2 linked regions of the Nothobranchius furzeri genome follow. The protein of the gene in region 1 purifies or fractionates together with the protein of each later gene. This does not show direct contact. Links are inferred from orthologs where the notes say so. Each region holds a gene or a part of one and is shown in the gene's direction. Other genes may lie near its edges.

Region 1 (3,652 bases):
CAGCCAAACTCAAAGCAGAGTTCTGTTGGTGTTGAAGTCTCTGACTGGACCATCAGAGAATGGGACAAGAAGAAAATGGTCCTGAATGTCTGGGACTTCTCAGGTCAGCCTGCATGTGAAATCTGACTCCACTAGACTAGAGGTCATCAAAGAGATCAGGGGCCTCATTTATAAACTCATTCTTCCAACTATCATTTCTATTAATGTCCTTAACCTGCAGGTGGAGAGGACTTCAGTGGCTCTCACCCCCACTTTCTGACATCCAGAGCTCTCTACCTGGTTGTTTACAACCTGAGCAAAGGAGCCAGTCAGGTGGATGCTCTCAAACCCTGGCTCTTCAACATTAAAGTGAGCCACAGACCAAAGCTGAGCTTGTTTCTCTGTGCTGCTGACAGAGATCAGAGGTACCACTTCCTGATTTAAACTACATTGATGAGAATGGTTTTCCTGCATCTTTACTTCAGGCTGTGGCTCCGCTGTCCCCAGTCATCCTCGTGGGGACACACACAGATGTGAGTGAGGAAGCGCAGCTCCAGGCTTGTCTCGGTAAGTTTCGACAGGAGCTGCTGAACTATCAGGGCTTCCCGGCCATCAGAGACCATCACATAGTCTCTGCCTGCGAGGACTCGGATTCCATCGTCAAACTCCGTAAGACTATCATCCGGGAGGTCACCAGCTTCAAGGTAAAAAGGAAGCAGATAAATGTATTTCTTGTTTTATCGTCTAATCTCAAGTCATCTGCTCTTTATTTGCCAGATCCAAGGCCAGGAAGTTATAGGTCAGCTGGTGCCAGACAGCTATGTGGAGCTGGAGCGCAGGATTCTGCAGGAGAGGACCAAGGTCCCCCCAGAGTTCCCCGTTCTCAGGCACAGCGAGCTTCTGCAGCTCATCCACAAGAGTCAGCTGCAGCTGGAGGAAGCCGAACTGCCTCAAGCTATCCACTTCCTCAGCGAAGTTGGTCAGTTAGGAGCACAGCTGTGTATAAAAATGCCAAATCTACGATAAAATCTCATATTCATCAGATCAAATTAGAATTGTTTGTTTATATGAAGAAACTTGGTATAAAACCCTTGGTGAATTGTTTCCTTATTGTAAAACTCCGTGTTGATTTTTCCCCTTTACTCCAGCCTGTCAGAATGGAGCGTTCTTGGAATGAGGAACACAAAATGAAAGATTTTATCTAGAACCTCACCTGCTGATTAGTTACAGATTGTTGTGAATAAACTGATCAAGTCTTTGATTTGTTTTTGCTGTTGTAGGGATTCTGTTGCACTTTGATGACCCTGCGCTTCAGCTGCAGGAATTCTACTTTCTCATCCCACAGTGGCTCTGCAACGTCTTGTCTGAGGTAAGTCCATTACCCTGACCCTAGCCAAGCTGTTTCGTTTTTTGAAATAAAAAGTAGCTGAGTACGTTAACAATCATCACAACATTTACACGTTTCATTCTGGTTCTGGGCTACCAGTGACCTGCTGATGGCAGCTGAGTTTTCATTAGCATCACGCTCTTTCCCTTCAGTCTGATGCTTTTGACACCAGGGTCTTTTATCAGCATGCATGCTCGTCTGAACTTGTGCACTCACGTCCTTGTGAAACCTCATCAACTTTGGCTTAAGTACTGTTCCAAACCTGAGTATGCATCATGGCAAGTACTCTTAAAATACCAGGAAGGGAAAAAAAGAAAGAAAAAAAGGAAAATAAAGAAAAAAAGGAGAAAAATACCAGGATGTGTTTTTGCTCTGCTCGTTGTATAGAGGACGCATCAACGCAGCCTTCTGTGGACTTGGGCCAGCAAGCTATCCCATAATGCATTGCATCGCAAATGGTTCTACCTCCAATGGAAAGTTGTGGAAGACAAAGCTCCTAACTAGTGTTTCATTATCAAAAATACAAATAAGTCTAAATAAATAAATATAAAATTGTCTGTTATTGTAGATAATTGTGTGTAGACTGGGAAATGGTTGTGTTTGTTTTTCTCTTTTTCTGACTCTTCACTAAACCACGACAGGTAATTAGCTAACCCACTATCAGAATAAAACCAGTGTTTGCATATCTGTTTTGATAAAAAACGAACTTATTTTTCTTCATGTAACAGCGTGAAATGCTGGTATTTTACCAGTTTTGAAGAAAGATAAATGAAAGACACACTGTAGCATTAAAAATTTGACCAAATATTCTACAAACAAAAGGTTTTCCTTGTTATTTTGATATTTAAGGGACAAACCAGAATTTTACTGTTCTTTCAGGTCCTTTTTGTAACCGTAGTATAAAAGCTTTTTGCCAAGATGTAATGGAGTATGGTTGTTCCATATGCAGTCTTCGTCCTCCAGTACTCCATAGAACAGACTTTCTGCTGTCCCAGCCAAGAACATAGTCTCATTGAGAAATGGTCCCTCTTTATAACCCACCTCTTGATTGTCTAGTTTGTCATGGCAATGCTGGACTACCAGCCAGCTTTAGCTACAATTATACCTCTAAAACCACACACTAGACTTTAGTCTCCAATCCCATCCATGCTAGGTTATTATTGGTGTTCCACAGGGTCAAGTCCTTGAGTCCCTCTTTTTTTGTAATTAACCTCCATTTAAATGTGTCTAGGAAACCATGTTTAACTATTATCAAATGAAACCCAACCAGACTTGTCTGCCAAACTCTCACCTATACTGTTTTAGTGAAATGGTTAGTTTATAATATCCTCCAACTTATGGGTGAAAAACCGGAGTTTGTCTAGTGTCTGTTAGCAGCAACTTGGTCCTGCTGGCGTGTTACAGTAATTTTATCATATTTTATTCCACTGTAGGTAAAGAGTCTGATGTAATTCTTGATAGAACTCCTTAATTCAAAAATAGCTTTAGTCTTCTTGGTTTCCTTTATGGACCGACTCTGTACACCTTTACCAACCAGCAGCTCAGCTGTGAAATCCACACATCTGGTGTTGGTTATTTAAACTTCCTTAGCTAACATTTTTAGATATAACTATCTAAGTTGTCCTCAAATGCCCTGAAAAACTCTCATGTAAGTAGTTCTGTCTTCTTTACAGAGAGGGATGCTAAAGAGCTGTAGTCTCTGGGAGCAACCCAAAGGAGTTATTCAGCGATCCGTGGTGGAAAGGTTTCTGTTTGAGACCAAATGTTTCCCAAAGAGCCACCTGGTCCAGTTCTTTAAACTCCTGGAGAAGTTTCTGATTGCTCTTCCCTTTGGGGACGGCCAGCTTCTTGTTCCTAGCAGGTAAGTTTCACTTTTTTGGAACTTGCCCCGATTAAAGAGTCTTGAGTTTTATAGCATCTCACCCTGCTGTCTGCAGCTTGTCCAAACACAGGCCGGTGATCGAGCTGCCTCACTGTGAGAACTCTGAGGTGATTGTGCGTCTGTATGAGCTGCCCTACTTCCCCATGGATTTCTGGTCCAGGCAGATCAGCCGCCTGCTGGAAGTCTCATCCTATTTGCTCGGTGGAAGAGGTAAAATGAGCAACTTCTGTTTCATTGTAAAGAATTTCATCATTTCTTAAGCAAACAGCAATATAGTAGAACTCTGTCACCTTACTTTCATAGAGAAAGTTCTCCGACCAAACCGAATCTACTGGAGGAGAGGGCTTTACTTAAACTGGTCCCCTGAGGCCTACTGTCTGGTGGAGGCTGCCTCGGAGGAGCAA
Region 2 (3,652 bases), on another chromosome or scaffold:
GATCCACACCTGTGTGAGCCTCAGATCCTCACCTGTGTTAGCCTCGGATCCACACCTGTGTGAGCCTCAGATCCACACCTGTGTTAGCCTCGGATCCACACCTGTGTTAGCCTCGGATCCACACCTGTCTCAGGTCTGAGCCTCAGATCCACACCTGTGTTAGCCTCGGATCCAAACCTGTGTGAGCCTCAGATCCACACCTGTCTCAGGTCTGAGCCTTGGATCCACACCTGTGTTAGTCTCGGATCCACACTTGTGTGAGCCTCAGATCCACACCTGTGTGAGCCTCAGATCCACACCTGTGTTAGCCTCGGATCCACACCTGTGTGAGCCTCGGATCCACACCTGTGTTAGTCTCGGATCTACACTTGTGTGAGCCTCGGATCCACACCTGTGTTAGCCTCGGATCCACACCTGTGTTAGCCTCGGATCCACACCTGTGTGAGCCTTAGATCCACACCTGTGTGAGCCTTGGATTCACACCTGTGTGAGGTCTGAGCCTCAGATCCACACCTGTGTTAGGTCTTAGAGAACTTCAGATCCACACCTGTGTAAGGTCTTTTAGAACCTCGGTTCCACACCTTTCTGAGGTCTGAGCCTCGGATCCACACCTGTCTGAGGTCTGAGCCTCGGATCCACACCTGTGTGAGGTCTGAATGGATGTAAACAGGTGTCTCTAACCTCTGTATGAATTTTGTCCCTCTGGCTGCTCCGTACTCACACCTTCTCTCTGGTCGTGTCTCAGGCTGTCTGCAGGTCTGCTCCGTCAGGCCACCTACACCACCACCCGTCTGGGGATCTACACCATCCTGTTTGAGAAGATGACAGGAGCCGACGGCCGGCCACCCAACTTCATCTTGAAGGTGAGATCTTGTCCCACAGCTGGTGGAAGTAAGTCAAACTTTATTTATAAAGCACCTTTGTACACACAAGGGGCTGAACAGGTGTGGGTCATCGTTTACACCAGAACACACAGATACAATCAGAGGCCCTAAGGAACGTGTAGAACAAAGCCCTGAGGCTGGTGTCCTGGTTGAGCTGTCCTTCTCAGGTGAGAGGTCTACCTGTGCTTTTGCTCCTCCCACAGGCTCTGATTGGGATGACAGCTGGAGCCACTGGAGCGTTTGTGGGAACGCCAGCAGAGGTTGCTCTGATCAGGATGACGGCTGATGGCCGGTGAGACATGAGCTCATGGTCTGTGTGTGTGTGTGTGTGTGTGTGTGTGTGTGTGTGTGTATGTGTGTGTGTGTGTGTGTGTGTGTGTGTGTGTGTGTGTGTGTGTGTGTGTGTGTGCACGTGCGAATCTGATCACAGGACAGTTTATTTGTGTCTCCAGGCTTCCTGCTGACCAGAGGAGAGGGTACACCAATGTCTTCAACGCTCTCGCTCGCATCACCAGAGAGGAGGGAGTGACTACACTCTGGAGGGTCTGTGTGTGTGTGTGTGTGTGTGTGTGTGTGTGTGTGACAATGTGTGTGTTTGTGTGTGTGTGACAATGTGTGTGTGTGTTTCAGGGGTGTGTTCCCACCATGGCCCGGGCGGTGGTTGTGAATGCAGCTCAGCTAGCCTCCTACTCTCAGTCCAAACAGGCTCTGCTGGACTCAGGTGATCATCTTACACACACACACACACACACACACACACACACACACACACACACACACACACACGCACGCACGCGCACACACATACATACAGACAGTATGTATGATTAGTCTAAAACTTGGTCATGTATCTTCTGCCATCAACACAAACTTAAGGAATTTGGGTGTTTTGACCAACCAATGTCTCTTGAAGGCCACGTTGATCCGAAACTGTTTTTATCATTTAAGAACTTGAAATGGTTCTCCATCTCCTCCCCGTCTAGATAACTGTAACACACTCTCCACATGTTCTCACAAAAAAGCCCTTGACCGCCTTCAGGTGGTCCAGATCTCTGCAGCTAGGCTCCTAACTGGAGCAAACAGAAGAGCTCACATCACTCCTGTTCTGGTGTCTCTGCACTGGTTACCCGTTAACTTTAGAGTTCTGACTAGAACTTTCAGGGCTCTACATGGTCAAGCTCCTCCCTATATATATATATATCTTAGTAAATATTGTATTTGGTGAGAGATAAACTTTATTGTATTTATCCTAGTGGATCTATAATTAAACGGATAAACTAGTAGTAGCACATCCAACGTCAAGGAAAGTAAAAAGTTATTATCAGGAGAGGGAGAATGTTTAAGTGGTTAGCAGCAGTGTGCTAGTCGATGGCCCCCTCCATGAGGCCACCACAGCTCAGCAGAACATCGTTGTAGCTTCTTCTGGGGAGAAAAACACTTACAGAGAAAATAAAGTTAACAGCTGAAATAGCAGGAAATAATACAGTTAAAGAGCAGATTGTAGAATAAAGTAGTAGAGTGTGAGAAGTGGTCAGTGTGTCCTCCAGCAGTCTAAGCCTATAGCAGCATAACTACAGAGATAACTCTGGATAATCTATCCTATTTAGATGGAGGCATGTTGGAGGCAGGGCAAGGGAGAGCCGTCTTTACCGACTGTACACTCCACCTCCCTCTACTCCCCCACTTGTCCAGATTTAGGCTAACATCAGATTTTAACCATAGACCCTATCACATAAAAATGTTTTAAGCCTATTCTTAAAAGTAGACAAAGTGTCTGCCTCACGGACTAAAGCTGGGAGCTGGTTCCACAGGAGAGGAGCCTGATAACTAAAAGATCTGCCTCCCATCCTAATTTTAGATATTCTGGGAACCACCAGTAAACCTGCAGTCTGAGAGCGAAGTGCTCGGTTAGGAACGTATGGACCAATCAGATAACTGATTGGTTGGGCAAACTCCCACGCACCCTTCAGGACCACCCTAAGGGTATGGAGATGGTCCAGTGTTCCACAGCGAGGATGAAAAACACATTGCTCCTCCTGAATCCAAAGTTTCACATTCCGCCGGACCCTCCTCTCCAGAACCCCTTAATAGACCTTACCAGGCAGGCTCAGCAGTGTGTTTCCCATGCAGTTAGAATGCATCCTGCGGTCCCCCTTTTTAAATAGGGAGACCACCACCCCGGTCCTCTAATCCAGTGAAACTGCCCTTGATGTTCACGCAATATTCCAGAGCCACTTTAGCCAACCCAGCCCTACGGCATCCAGAGCCTTAAGAAACTCTGGGAGGATTTCATCTCACCAAACTCCTCTCACGCCCAGGTTTTTGCCTCTGTGACCACCGGGGCCACATTCCGCTTGGCGTGCTGGTACCCATCAGCTGCCTCTGAAGTCCCACAGGCCAGAGAGACCTGATAAGACTCTTTCTTCGGCTGGACAGCCTCCCTAACCATCTGTGTCCACCAGCGGGTTCGGGGATTGCTGCCACGACTGAGACTGATGACCCCGTGGCCACAGCTATGATCGGCAGCCTCAGCAATAGAGGCACGGGGCCTGGCCCACTCGGACTCACTGTCTCACGCACACCCGAACGCAACCAAATTGTCCACAATAGAGGCCAGCCGATATATCTATTCAATTTTTTCTACATTGGCCATCGACTGAAATATTTTTATAAGCTGATAAAAGAATCAGGCCTTTTCTCATTGTTGACACCTGAGGCAATATTCCACCCCTTAGGAAAACGTTGTCTGTTAGATTTCCCAGAGTTAG

The links. The genes of interacting proteins can lie anywhere in the genome.
Region 2: the proteins of lrrk2 (region 1) and slc25a11 purify together in Homo sapiens (co-immunoprecipitation; 3 studies listed by IntAct, with this or other methods). This does not show direct contact. The link is inferred for Nothobranchius furzeri from reciprocal best matches to the Homo sapiens genes LRRK2 and SLC25A11.

The regions. Positions count from the first base shown.
Region 1 is NC_091744.1:48,478,046-48,481,697, forward strand, and holds part of lrrk2 (leucine-rich repeat serine/threonine-protein kinase 2), read left to right. Parts: coding exon 1-103; intron 104-220; coding exon 221-348; intron 349-464; coding exon 465-683; intron 684-756; coding exon 757-958; intron 959-1,259; coding exon 1,260-1,348; intron 1,349-3,039; coding exon 3,040-3,227; intron 3,228-3,303; coding exon 3,304-3,458; intron 3,459-3,551; coding exon 3,552-3,652. UniProt on the Homo sapiens protein: Serine/threonine-protein kinase which phosphorylates a broad range of proteins involved in multiple processes such as neuronal plasticity, innate immunity, autophagy, and vesicle trafficking.
Region 2 is NC_091742.1:101,986,785-101,990,436, reverse strand, and holds part of slc25a11 (mitochondrial 2-oxoglutarate/malate carrier protein), read left to right. Parts: intron 1-745; coding exon 746-863; intron 864-1,087; coding exon 1,088-1,176; intron 1,177-1,336; coding exon 1,337-1,427; intron 1,428-1,514; coding exon 1,515-1,605; intron 1,606-3,652. UniProt on the Homo sapiens protein: Catalyzes the transport of 2-oxoglutarate (alpha-oxoglutarate) across the inner mitochondrial membrane in an electroneutral exchange for malate.